Linked DNA regions of Tribolium castaneum. Each later gene encodes a partner of the first gene's protein in a complex. Links are inferred from orthologs where the notes say so. Each region holds a gene or a part of one and is shown in the gene's direction. Other genes may lie near its edges.

Region 1 (4,384 bases):
TCGTACCTAAATTATTTATTTATTTATTCGTCGGCCGGCGACATTCCGCCAACGCACAAATTTCTCTCGATGAACAGCAACGAAAACACATTTTTGATGCTACTTTGCCAAGTTTTGTTCCTAGCATTGTTTTGTTTTGTTAATTTTTTTATTATATTGTACTCATGTGCTGTGATTATGTGAAATTTATTTTCAAAAGAGATCGGAATTTTTGTGTATTTATTTTTTATCGAATCTGCCTAAAATTTCTTGCCATTTCTGTATTATCGCGTACTTGATAAAATTTAGAATTTTTTAATTTATTTATCGTATGATTAGTTTCTTTGTTACTCGCAGTGTGGAATCTACAATTGTTTGTTTTTTCTGTTCAGTTTTTTTCCTAATAATTAAAAGTATTATCGTTCCACTCTGCTCTAGGTTACTCCGCAGTGCTTCAACGAAGCATTTAATTTAGTTTCAGATGCTTTTAGTTTAATGCTAGCGCTTAGTGATTAGGAAGAAAAAACTTCAGTTTACCATATGTCAAGGCATTATATGACCTTTTTACCTTATAATACTCACTTTGTAAAATAAAAATGTTTATTGTATATTGATTAAATAGTATAATTTGTTGTACACATTACAAATGTGAGTACAAATGCGACCGAGTCGCGTCATTTGTTATTTTCTAATCCTTACCATCTTACAATTGTTGTCTATGTTATAAATGTTTACGTAATGTTACAATTGTTTTGTAAATCGATCATACTTAATGCTCTTGTTTACTAATTTTTGTATTATAATCAGTATTTGTTGATGTTTTTTGTAAATGTTCGTAATTCTTATTTATGACAGTTTGCCATGGTAAAGGGATTTATATTATTATTATGTTTTTTGTTCTATTTTGGATCTCATTCAATTTAGTTTTTTTTGCTTGCTTCTTTGGCCCATAACTGCCAACTTTTTTCCAACTGTGTTCTCTCTGAAAGACAATACTCAAATAGACTACATATACGTACGAAAAATATGTACATCCAGACACTTTATATAAACTTTTTTGTTTATATTCGCCATAGAACATGTTTTATACTCAGATTACGTTATGTATAGTTATATCAGATTTTATCTCCTCTTTATTATTGATTTTATAAAGTATTTTTATACCTAGATTCATATATTTACATTTTATAACTTTATTATATAATTGTGAATTTATTACAAATAAACATTATTTAAAACAAATGAGTTTAACCCGACCCCCAAACCCATCCCAAACGATACGCCATTGGCACAAACAAACCGTCATTCGGTCCAACAACAAAATAGCATTAATTACCTAATTGGACAAAACAATAATTTAGAATTAATGCCAGAAACCGACAAATGCGGTAAATTAATACCTTTACCGCTCATAAATAAAAAAAATCAAAAAACCAAATTTTATGTAATTGTCACCAGGTGGCGGTTGCGTAACTTTTTGACATTTGACAACAATCACAAAATAAAATGTTTAAAAAACGCTAAAATCGGTTAATTACCACATAAACACGATGGCTGCAGTGTTGAAAAAACGCGCTTTGGCCGAATTCACCCAAACAATCCAGGTATGGGCTAAATTTCCCTTTGTCCAAAATGAGGTTATGTTTACATATTCCAGGAAACTGTTCCTTTCCAACCGATTAAAAAACTCAAACTTGTCAAGAAGCCTTCCACAGGCACCGGGAACTCGTCTTTGGCACTTATTAGTTGTCTTGAAGGTTGCAAAAGCAGTAGCGAAGCCCTACGAACTTTGCTTCGTGTCTCTGATACTTTCGAGCTTGAGGCTTCAGATATTCCCGAAGCAGTTAAAAAACTGAGCGATCATTTTAAGAATGAGCCAGAGTCGGCCGTTAGAGTAAAAATTTTGTCACTTTTGTGCGACATTGGGCATCTACCCAACGCTGATGTTGTGTCCATTATTGACGAGACGATTTTGTTGCTTAAAAATGACCATTCACATAAAGTTATCGCTCAGGGGATGAATACCGTGCTTAAATTAGGGAAGCTGGTCTCTGATAATGTCATCGCTTTGCATCAGAAACTGGTAGAAGTGGCGAAAAGTTACTTGAAAGATGTCAGTCATGCTGTCAAGAGGAAATGTCTAGAGATCATTGGCGTGCATACGCCGGTTTGTACGGGGGCAGAGGCGGAGAAATTAATGGTTTTGATTAGTTCGTACTTTAACCACGACGACGCCAGGGTGCGTAGTCAGGCTTTTTCGACGATTATCACCCTACATGAGCGCAATTTTAAAATAAATCCGGACATTTATATAGATGTTTGCGATGCCTTAAAGGACGACTACGAAATTGTCCGTCAAGTCGTTCTCAAGTTAGTGTGTCTTTTGGGCAACACGTTTCCGGAAAAGTAGGCTTAGCCTAAACCCTCTCTTCTATTTACATTTAATTGAAAAAATTTCAGTGAGGTTGTACTTCCGGGAAGTGAACACGAAATCCGTCTCATAGACGACGCTTTCGGTAAAGTTTGCAACTCGATTTCTGATTTATCAATCCATGTTCGAACCTTGGCGGCTAAACTATTGGGAACGATGAAACAAGTCAGTGCGAAATTTCTCAACCAAACTCTTGATAAAAAATTAATGTCTAATATGAGGCGCAAAAGGACGGCTCATGAGTTGGCTTGGGAAAATGTAACGAGTGGAGAATGGGCGAGTGGGAAAAAATGGGCCGATGACGCCCCCAGGGAAATCCTCGACGCTGACAGCATCAATTTGATGAGCAGTGGGGCGTGTGGGGCCTTCGTGCACGGCTTGGAGGACGAGTTTATGGGTAAATGACGAGGCAAAGCCGAGTGTCATAATTTTTATCTACAATTATCTACTTTTTTTTGACTTATTGGTAATAATACAGTTGTGGACTTTTAGGTAGTGGTAAAGAACTTTAGATCAATTTTTTTTTAATTTCTTTGATCATTAAGCAGATATCTGTTAAAAAAAATCATCAATTATGTGCCAATTAGTGTATTATGGTATTTAAAAAATTTAATAAGCTCACAAATTAGATAGTAAATTAAATTTGACATCATTGGGAATAAAAGAACAATGAATGAAACTGTTCCTAAGGAAAACAAATAGAAAATATACAGGATGGTTCAGTGAAGACAGTTCACCCAAGTTTTCGATGTTTGGACTCGATTTTTACAATTTATGGGGTTCATAAAGACTAAAAAAATTATGGCCATTTAGAACATTCAAATAAATAATTTAATAAATAAACTGTAATTAAAAAAAAGAAATTTTTAGAAAACTTATACCAAATAAAAAAAATAACACTTGGTGGAAGTGCGGGCAAGACGGGGTATGAGCTTTAAATAATAAACTAATTGACTAATAATCATTTTTTGTACGTGGCGAAGCCCAGTTAAGACAGCTTTTAATTGTAGATTTTTAATTGAACGATACCACCATGCCTTTTGCGAGTTTTATGAAAAAAACCTGTTTTTGGCGATTTTCTTATGATTTTTTTCACTTTCTTTAGTACGTGTCTGTTTTGTTAATAACAAAATTTCAAATTGCTTTTATGGTTATTCATATGTCAATGATTTTTCTAACAGGTTAACATCTATTTATTTGTAGATGACAACATAGTTTTTGGAAGTTAATTTTCTAACACAATTTGCCGTAAGAGGGCAAGACGGGCTGAGACCTTGCTCGTAACAGTAATATGTAAAACTCCTCTCTTCATAAAAAACCTTAAACCATAACAAAGTTTGGAAAATAAGCAAAAGAATAAAAATTACAGAGCTAAAGGAAAACTGAAAAATCTGGGGTTGATAAAAAGAGTGTTCAAAAAGAAAAAGATTTTAAGATTAGACCATCAATCGAGAGCAACAGTGAAATTGAAATTAGGGGTACCCCATCTTACCCACAAGGACTTTTTCTACTTTGTTTCACTTTTATATTTAATAAAGGTTCCAAATAAAACTTATTAATCACAAAAAACTAATTACCAAGGATAATTAATAATACAAAAATTTTATAGAGCTTCAAACGTTAAGTACCCCGTCTTGCCCGCACTTTCCCTATTGTAAAGAGGTTTTAATAGATTTTAAAATAACATCATAATTAACCCCTGTTTCCATTAAAAAAATATATAATTACAGGCAGCCCCTCTTTGGGGGTTGAAGTGGTACGAACACAAAGTAAATATTTAAGTGTCCCCCTTGGATATAAAATCGCACTGTCTTAGCGTTTTGAGTTAAGTGACTCCAAACGTTAAAAATTTGGGTGTATTGGTTTCAGTGGGCCACCCTATATATTAAATATTAAAAATCAAGTTGCTTGAAAAAAAAACATTTTTAAACTTTACTGAATATCTCCTATCAATATCACCATACGAAAGTTAGT
Region 2 (4,081 bases), on another chromosome or scaffold:
GGACTAAATACGTATTGTTTTTGTTTGAAAGAATCAAGTAATTAGGCTGAGTGGATGAGTCTAATAATAATAACTTGTTTTTTATTTGGCACATGGTTACCTAGTATATTTGAATCATTTAACTCAAAAAAGTTAATTTTATAATCGGAAAATGTGATAGTGCGGAGAAAATTCACAAGGTATAGAAACAATACAGCATTGTTGTTATTTATGAACAATTTACTTGAGTGGTTGGATAAACTAGACTTGAATCAATAAGTTACGTTCCCCTACTTTATCACAATGTATTTGTTTGAAACACTCCCAAACTACATGATATTTGTGTACAGATCGTTGGGAATCATCCAGTTTTGTCCCAAAAATTCACACAAAATCGTAAAGATATCTCCCACCGTTCTTTACGTTTGTTTGCAGCTGTATTTTCTGTATACTAGTGTTAAATTTTCCTCCGATTACATGACTCTGGGATTCACTGGTCTATTCCACTACCTCGACTTGCTATCAACCGTTGGAACGGTTTTATCAATGCTAACATCACTCGTTATGTTTCGCAAAAGGAGCAAGCGACTCAAAACTTTACTTGAGCAAACCGACAAAATTGAAATTTTTCAAACAAATGAAAAGTCGCGCTTGAGTTGCATACAAATTTTGCTTTTCGCCGGTATAGTTGGCTTAATTTTACTAGTGCCGTTTTCGAATTCTATGATTGATTTATCCTTTTTTTACTTCATTCCTTTGTTCATCAATATTTTTGATCACATGTTTTTGTGTGATATTCTCAACTTTATTTCATCTAAATTTGGTTCGATTAATCACCATTTGCGCCACCAAATCAAAACAGAGGATGAGGATATTAAAACGAACATTCGACGAGTCCAAGAATTGTCGTTTTCTCATTACAATTTGGTCGATTTGACCAAAAAAATCACAAGACTGTTCGAAATCACAACATTGGCTGCGATGGGAATGTGGTTTGGGTACATGGTTGATGGTAGTTACTACACACTGCATGTTCTAGTCCATGGTAGTCCTTCTTTTTGGACAGATGTCGGTTTTAATTGCATGTTTGGCGTTTTGCATTTTTTTTGGTTGTGTTTTGTAATAGATGGATTTGCAAGGACTCAAAATACGGTAAACGGTTAGATTTGTGGCAAGTGATTGCGTTAAAAGTGTTTCCAGGCTAATTTAGCTGCAATCTATCTGCACGATATTTGGAATAAGTATTTGGAAAGAGGGAAACTTGACAGAAATGTACGTTATCTTCAATTGATTTCCATTCGGTTTTACAACACCAAAGTGCGCTTTACGGCTATGGATTTTTTTAGTCTAGACTGGACGTTTGGGCATTTGGTAAAAATCAACAAGATTTTTACTTTTTTAGGGTTTCTTTTAGATGATTGCTGCAGTTGCCACCTATGTGGTAATCTTAATCGAAATTGAGATATAATTTTGGTTTTTCCAAAAAAGTGCCATAGGCAACCAGTAATTCACGTCGATAGTGAATTTAATAGTAGATCAATTGAACCAGACGTTAGTTTAATTCTTGAAATGAAACAAAAAATGGGTGGAAAAAACTGTAGACAATTTTGTAATCAATTAAAATTTTATTATCACTAATAAGTACAGTTGAATAAGTTAATAAATACATTATGTTTTGGAGTTAAAAGTAAAAAATGAATTGTGGTAGATCCGTTGCCTGCGCCACTGAATGACCTACTCGTAACGTAACCTCAAATGCTCTGCTTAGTTTTTTGGTGTTTTTAACCCTCTAATGCCGGATATCAAGATAACCCCTTTGGGGGCCGGCCAGGACGTGGGCCGCAGCTGCATCCTCCTCACAATGGGGGGCAAAAACATAATGTTGGACTGCGGCATGCACATGGGGTACAACGACGAGCGCCGCTTCCCCGACTTCTCCTACATATCTCAAGAAGGTCCCCTTACCTCCTACATCGACTGTGTAATTATCTCCCATTTCCATCTGGACCATTGCGGGGCTTTGCCCTACATGTCCGAAATGGTGGGTTACTCAGGCCCCATCTACATGACTCACCCCACTAAAGCTATCGCCCCCATTCTCCTGGAAGACATGCGAAAAGTCTCAGTTGAGAAAAAAGGTGACCAGAATTTTTTCACGTCCCAAATGATCAAAGACTGTATGAAGAAAGTCATTGCTGTGACTTTACACCAGTCTTTGATGGTGGACAACGAGATTGAAATTAAAGCGTATTATGCGGGACATGTCCTGGGGGCTGCCATGTTCTGGATACGCGTGGGGGCCCAGTCTGTGGTGTACACCGGCGATTACAACATGACCCCCGACCGGCATCTGGGGGCTGCCTGGATTGATAAATGTCGCCCCGATTTGTTAATCTCCGAATCGACATACGCCACTACCATTCGAGATTCGAAACGTTGTCGCGAACGCGACTTTTTGAAAAAAGTCCACGAGTGTATGGACCGTGGGGGCAAAGTGCTAATCCCCGTGTTTGCATTAGGACGTGCCCAAGAACTTTGTATCCTTCTGGAGACATACTGGGAACGTATGAATCTCAAAGCCCCCGTGTACTTTGCCCTAGGACTCACCGAAAAGGCGAACAACTACTACAAAATGTTTATAACTTGGACGAATCAAAAAATCCGAAAAACGTTCGTGCAACGTAACATGTTCGATTTCAAGCACATCAAGCCTTTCGACCGTTCGTATATTGATAATCCGGGCCCCATGGTGGTTTTCGCCACACCTGGGATGCTCCACGCGGGGCTGAGCCTCCAAATCTTCAAAAAGTGGGCCCCCAATGAGAACAACATGGTCATAATGCCCGGTTTTTGTGTCCAAGGCACCGTGGGCCATAAAATTCTGAATGGGGCGAAACGAGTCGAATTCGAAAATAAGCAAATCGTGGAGGTGAAAATGTCCGTTGAATACATGAGTTTCTCGGCACATGCTGATGCCAAAGGCATCATGCAACTGATCCAACATTGCGAACCTCGAAACGTTATGCTTGTCCACGGCGAGGCCGAGAAAATGGAGTTTCTCAAGCAGAAAATCCTCCAAGAGTTCAGTATTAACTGCTATAACCCCGCCAATGGCGAGACTTGTGTTATTTCAACACCGGTCAAAATCCCAATCGATGTTTCGTTGCCGCTGCTCAAGTCCGAAGCGAGGAAATTCAGCGCTTTGCCGCCGGACCCCAAACGGAGGCGCACCCTGCACGGAGTGCTCGTCATGAAGGAGAACAATGTGTGTTTGATGGACGTGGACGACGCGTGTAAGGAGGCTGGGATTAATAGGCATATAATTCGGTTTTCGTCAACGGTTCATTTGAATGATACAGGGCCGGCGTTAGCAACGGCCCATAAATTACACGGTTTCATTAAAGAGAATTTGCCACAATGGCCGGTGGTGTTCGCCGAAGGCGAGATTTCAATCGAGTCGGTTCTGGTCAAGGTTGAAGGCGATGAGGACGAACAAAAGAACGTCTACGTCTCGTGGACCAATCAGGACGAGGATTTGGGCAGTTATATATTGAATTTGTTGAATCGAATGGGACAATAATTTATTTTTGTTGAGATTTGGTGTTTTATTTACCCCCAATACACGAAAATTTAAAAGAAATTGTTTCAATTTATTGTGTACGACTTTAGGGGTGACTATCAGAAATTCCCCCACTGTCAAAAAGAGTGCGGAGTGACTTAATAGTTATTTATTTAACGAGTTTGAGTGTAAATCGGCATGAGTGGATTATTAAACCACGAGTGAGAATGAGTTGAATACAACAAATTGCTTTAAATCTGTTAAAAATAATTTGACGTTTCGTATTGAAAAATGCCAAACATTTTGAGTGTCCAAGAATAAAAATTAAAATAAAATAAAGCTCTGAAATTGAATTGCACCGAAAATAAGTGCAACTTAAAATTTTCTAAAACTTGTTTTAAACTAAATCGTACTTTGGGTGCCACTTAAATAGCGCTTAACATCAAAAAAGCAATTTATATGCACAATTTGAAAACGGATCAGTGAGAAATTGCGTTATTCTTAATTTGTATAATGAAAAAATTAGTTCAAACAACCAAACGA
Region 3 (4,282 bases), on another chromosome or scaffold:
TCCTTTTTCCAGGAAATGGGTTCAATCGTTGAACAATTTATTGTAGTAGAAATAAATGTTTAACTTTCCCGGCGCATCCACCATTTTTGTCAATGGACCAAAAGTTATTAAAACATGGTTTACATCACTTTTATTTAAAAATTACATAGCGTTGACAACTAGTTTTTCTTTAAACTGAATCATCACAATTAAATATGTAAAAATAATGCTAAAAATGTGGTAAACTGTTGACCTGGTTATGACTACAAATCGGCCCACGTAAAATTTTGGAAAATTAGCGGTCATGTCTGAAATAATAATTTGGTAATTTCTTATTACAGTTTTCCTGTGTAATTTTTGTGCCAAAATTGTGAGTTTTTCTGCCTCTACTAAAACTGAGTCACACAACCATATTAATACGATGGTGCCGCCCTAAAAAACTCGATGTTTTGTGAATGTTTATAAAGAAAAAAATTATTTACCGTGGTCATTATTAGGAAACAGACGTTAGAAATGATGACCTCATCATACTCATTTTTCTCATACAAAAATCCGCTTTCAAAACTGTCATCAAAGTAGTTAAGAATCTGCAAACTTGTGTACACGATTATTAGAAGGAACGGCCATCCAAACACTTTATTAAAATGCTCGGTTGTATTTTTTAACAATCGAAGTGTTTTTTTAATTTTTAATATTTGACAGTCGTGTTTTTTGGACAATATAACACCTACATTTTTGTAACCTTGAAGTATTATATCAAGAACAACATACAATAAATACTGATAGTAAAACAACATGTATGACTGTATTATTTCAATCCCATATTGCTTGAAAAATTCCAATCCCATTACGTCAGTCCATACAAACGCGTCGTAAACACTAACAGTCCAAAAAATAAAAAAAGTTAGAACAAAGCTCGTGTAGTAATTTTTGGGAGCAAATAAACAAATTTTTCCCAGTTCATTGTTAAGGCGAAGCCACGTTTTGCGTCTCCAAAACGATGCCACAACAATAATTAAACAATTAAAGATAAACAAAGTTGCGTCCATTAAAACAGCAATCACAAGTTTGATGTGAATGAGACTCATGTAATCAGATTTTTTGTAAAATGTAGCAAGGGCAACGTTTAGTGTAAGAAAGAGTAAAACTAGCGTGGGAACTACGAGTTTTTTTGATTTAGAGGGCACAATTGCTAGAATTTTGCCCATTTTCAGTAAAAGTGATAACAGGAACATTTTGAAAATAGAGTCAACGAAAATTATTTATTCGGACTATGAATTAGTGGGAGTTCCCAATTTGCGACTGACTTTTTACATATTAAGGCTTATCGATTGATAAAAAGATTAAAAAGTAATTATTAATTAATTAAGAGACCAAAGTGAAGTTTTTTGTCCCCAATCGCTTGTGGAATGTGGGTTGCATATCAATTATTTTTTTAAGACAGTTGTAGTTATGTTCCTCTCTCTTATTCTATGGTTATGTTCGTTTTTTGTCGGCGTTTTAGGTTATAAACAGTTTTAAAATGAAATTAGTGAGTTATTTTAATGCAGATTAACTCAAATAACGTTTCGTTTTAGTACTGTTTGAGTAACGACCCGAACAAGCCATGTCACATCCTTACCTTCAAGGAAATAACTTTAATGTTGGACTGCGGTCTTTCCATGCAATCAGTATTAAATTTCCTCCCTTTATCATTTGTTGCCTCGAGTAAATTATCAAACTTACCAAACTGGATGCCAAACGACGTCTCTGATTCAGATTTGGAAGGAGTAGATAGAGTTAAAATCGAGTAAAGTAGCAAAATAAGTTGAAAATTTCAGGAATTGAAAGAGAATGGGGACCGCATTTTTGTCGACTCACCGCCGGAATTTTGCCCCCCTTTAAACAAACTCATAGATTTTGCCCAAGTCGACGTTATCTTAATTTCGAATTATTTGTGCATGATGGCACTGCCATTTATCACAGAAGGGACTGGGTTCCAAGGTAGGGTGTACGCCACTGAGCCCACTCTCCAAATCGGACGACTACTACTCGAGGAACTCGTTAATTACATTGACCAGTGCCCCAAAGCCAGTTTCGCAACCCAGTGGAAAAATCTCATTCATAAATTACCCTATCCTTTGAGCGACTCCTTCAAGCCCAAATCCTGGAAACAACTCTACAACATGAACGACGTCAATGCGAGTTTATCGCGCATACAGATGGTGGGCTACAACGAGAAAATTGTAATTTTTGATTCATTCCGCAACAATAAATAACTAAATATTTGCCAGGACGTTTACGGGGCTTTGAAAGTGATGCCTTCAAGCTCCGGCTTTTGCCTCGGCTCCTCCAACTGGATCATCACCTCCGACCACGAAAAGATCGTCTATTTGAGCGGCTCAAGCACCCTCACCACCCACCCCCGCCCCATGGACCACCACTCCCTCAAAAACGCCGATGTCTTGATCATGACAGACCTCACACAAACCCCCATCAGTAACCCGGACTCGATGTTGGGCGTTTTGTGCGTGGTGGTGGGGCTCACGCTACGTGGGGGAGGCAATGTTTTAATCCCGTGCTATCCCACGGGAGTTGTCTACGATTTATTTGAGTGCTTGTCGGTGAAAATGCAAGATTTGGGCGTTTCGAACTGTCCCATGTTTTTCGTGTCTCCAGTGGCTGATACTAGCCTAGCCTACTCTAATATTTTAGCCGAGTGGCTTTCGTCGGTTAAACAGAACAAGGTGTATGTGACCGAAGAGCCGTTCCCGCACGGACTTTTGGTCAAAAACAACAAACTTAAGCATTTTAAACATGTTTACTCGGACGGGTTCAGCACGGATTTCCAGGAGGTTTTTTTTAAAATTTAGTAGCCAAAAATAGTTGAATTATTTTTAGCCCTGTGTTGTTTTTTGTGGGCACCCCTCCTTAAGATTTGGCGATGTTGTACGTTTTATCGAGTTGTGGGGCAATAACCCAAGGAACTGCATTGTTTTTACAGGTAATTACATTTAAAATTTTTTGTTAATAAAATTTTTTTGCAGAGCCTGATTTCGACTACACCGAAGCCTTAGCCCCGTACCAGCCCCTGCAAATGAAAGTGGCTCACTGTGCCATCGACACTTCGCTCAATTTCACCCAAGCCAACAAACTCATCAGGGACTTAAAACCGAACACACTTGTGGTCCCTGAATGCTACACTCAGCCCCCAGTTTCGGCCCCAAACCTGACCGACTATGTTATTGAAAATAATCACGACCGTACATTAATTCCGTACAAATGGGGCGAAGTGATTAACTTGCCTTTGAAGCGGAAACATAGTCAGATTTTTATTGAAACCGGAGTTGCTCAAAAAATTGTGCCGGTGGAAGTGAAGCCTGGGATTAGTTTATCGAGTATTACGGGGACTTTGAGTATTAAAGACAACGTGCACAGCATACAGGTGAGAAAAATGATAAAGGAAAAAGTTGGTAGGTATTTTTTAAGGATTTGTCGTCCAGTGTGAATAAGGCGAGTAAACACGTCAAGTATGAGTGGGGGAGTTTGAATGTGACTGATTTTTTGCAAAAGTTGAGTCAGGAGGGGATTAGTGAGCCGAAGGTGGAGTCGCATGGGAATGTCGTTGTTATACATTTGGTAAGTTCATACTTACCGGTTTAATTATTTATTTTATGATTTTTTGAAGCAAGAGGAAGACGCGTTGATTCAGTTGGAAGACAATAGTACGCACGTGGTGTGCACTGGTGACGAAACTTTGAGGACAAAGCTGCGCAGTATCGTTATGCAGTGTTTGAAGAAGTTTTAGTCAGGCGTTTAAACAATTTATTACATTGAATATCGTATTTCACATGTATATAATATGTATGCAGAAGTAGACAAAGATGAAAATACTTGTATTTAATACTTGCACGTGTTTTTCCAAACACCCTGCACTTATCAAACACAAAGTTACAATTGTAAATTGTACAACAGCTTACGAGATAATATTACAGTAAAAAGTAATAAATATAGTATATTTTACAGACATGTATATATGGTGGAAGAAACAAACGCACACTTTACCTCTTGATTGTCTTAAAAAAAAGTAATTACAAATATATCAAAAACTACACACGAGAGTAACTTATGAGAAATTTACACAGTGTATATATTAAATAATACAGGCACGTTTTTTGATATTTCTGGATAAAGTAAAACACATGGAATGCTTAATAAACTTATTCAAATAATTCACAGCTTTCTTCATAAAGTATGTACAAAATTGACTGATAAAAGACAGCCAAATCACATTTCTTGAACATTGTAAGGTCTGTCTAACGTA

The links.
Region 2: the proteins of IntS4 (region 1) and IntS11 are in contact, whole or in part, in a cryo-EM structure (PDB 7SN8), measured with the Drosophila melanogaster proteins. The link is inferred for Tribolium castaneum from reciprocal best matches to the Drosophila melanogaster genes IntS4 and IntS11. Residues at the interface, in NP_572488.1 of Drosophila melanogaster: Arg226, Ser227, Gly228, Gln233, Lys256, Phe259, Tyr260, Asp262, Ser263, Gln264, Lys299, Asp300, Asp301, Cys349, Leu351, Lys380, Lys381, Ile437, Glu441, Glu443, Phe444, Leu445, Glu446, Arg448, Asp471, Phe472, Asp475, Asn478, Glu480, Ile481; in NP_651721.1 of Drosophila melanogaster: Thr182, Pro183, Arg185, Gly188, Ala189, Trp191, Ile192, Asp193, Lys194, Arg196, Ile210, Arg211, Asp212, Ser213, Lys214, Arg215, Arg258, Asn287, Gln288, Lys289, Lys292, Thr293, Met299, Gln400, Asn404, Asn469, Ala470, Pro472, Pro473, Pro475.
Region 3: the proteins of IntS4 (region 1) and IntS9 are in contact, whole or in part, in a cryo-EM structure (PDB 7SN8), measured with the Drosophila melanogaster proteins. The link is inferred for Tribolium castaneum from reciprocal best matches to the Drosophila melanogaster genes IntS4 and IntS9. Residues at the interface, in NP_572488.1 of Drosophila melanogaster: Arg105, Leu108, Val112, Thr115, Asp116, Asp147, Thr148, Ser149, Lys153, Glu156, Gln193, Met196, Arg200, His231, Lys234, Gln264, Asp265, Ser266, Arg269, Tyr302; in NP_648838.3 of Drosophila melanogaster: Arg2, Arg23, Met88, Lys90, Met91, Asp93, Glu96, Asp98, Arg173, Lys176, Asp203, Leu205, Gly206, Gly500, Glu501, Ile502, Arg504, Val544, Lys545, Asp546.

Annotation. Positions count from the first base shown.
Region 1 is NC_087398.1:12,616,057-12,620,440, forward strand, and holds the start of IntS4 (integrator complex subunit 4), read left to right. Parts: upstream 1-1,442; 5' UTR 1,443-1,529; coding exon 1,530-1,583; intron 1,584-1,636; coding exon 1,637-2,385; intron 2,386-2,439; coding exon 2,440-2,807; intron 2,808-4,384. UniProt on the Drosophila melanogaster protein: Component of the integrator complex, a multiprotein complex that terminates RNA polymerase II (Pol II) transcription in the promoter-proximal region of genes.
Region 2 is NC_087396.1:21,614,223-21,618,303, forward strand, and holds IntS11 (integrator complex subunit 11), read left to right. Parts: upstream 1-1,640; 5' UTR 1,641-1,771; coding exon 1,772-3,559; 3' UTR 3,560-3,575; downstream 3,576-4,081. Other genes in the region: Gr101 (gustatory receptor), read right to left, coding at 1-94; gustatory receptor Gr103, read left to right, coding at 283-1,131, 1,180-1,440. UniProt on the Drosophila melanogaster protein: RNA endonuclease component of the integrator complex, a multiprotein complex that terminates RNA polymerase II (Pol II) transcription in the promoter-proximal region of genes.
Region 3 is NC_087399.1:2,708,081-2,712,362, reverse strand, and holds IntS9 (integrator complex subunit 9), read left to right. Parts: upstream 1-1,398; 5' UTR 1,399-1,501; coding exon 1,502-1,510; intron 1,511-1,556; coding exon 1,557-1,748; intron 1,749-1,799; coding exon 1,800-2,204; intron 2,205-2,252; coding exon 2,253-2,813; intron 2,814-2,859; coding exon 2,860-2,962; intron 2,963-3,005; coding exon 3,006-3,403; intron 3,404-3,447; coding exon 3,448-3,597; intron 3,598-3,646; coding exon 3,647-3,766; 3' UTR 3,767-3,864; downstream 3,865-4,282. Other genes in the region: E3 ubiquitin-protein ligase UHRF2, read left to right, coding at 1-32. UniProt on the Drosophila melanogaster protein: Component of the integrator complex, a multiprotein complex that terminates RNA polymerase II (Pol II) transcription in the promoter-proximal region of genes.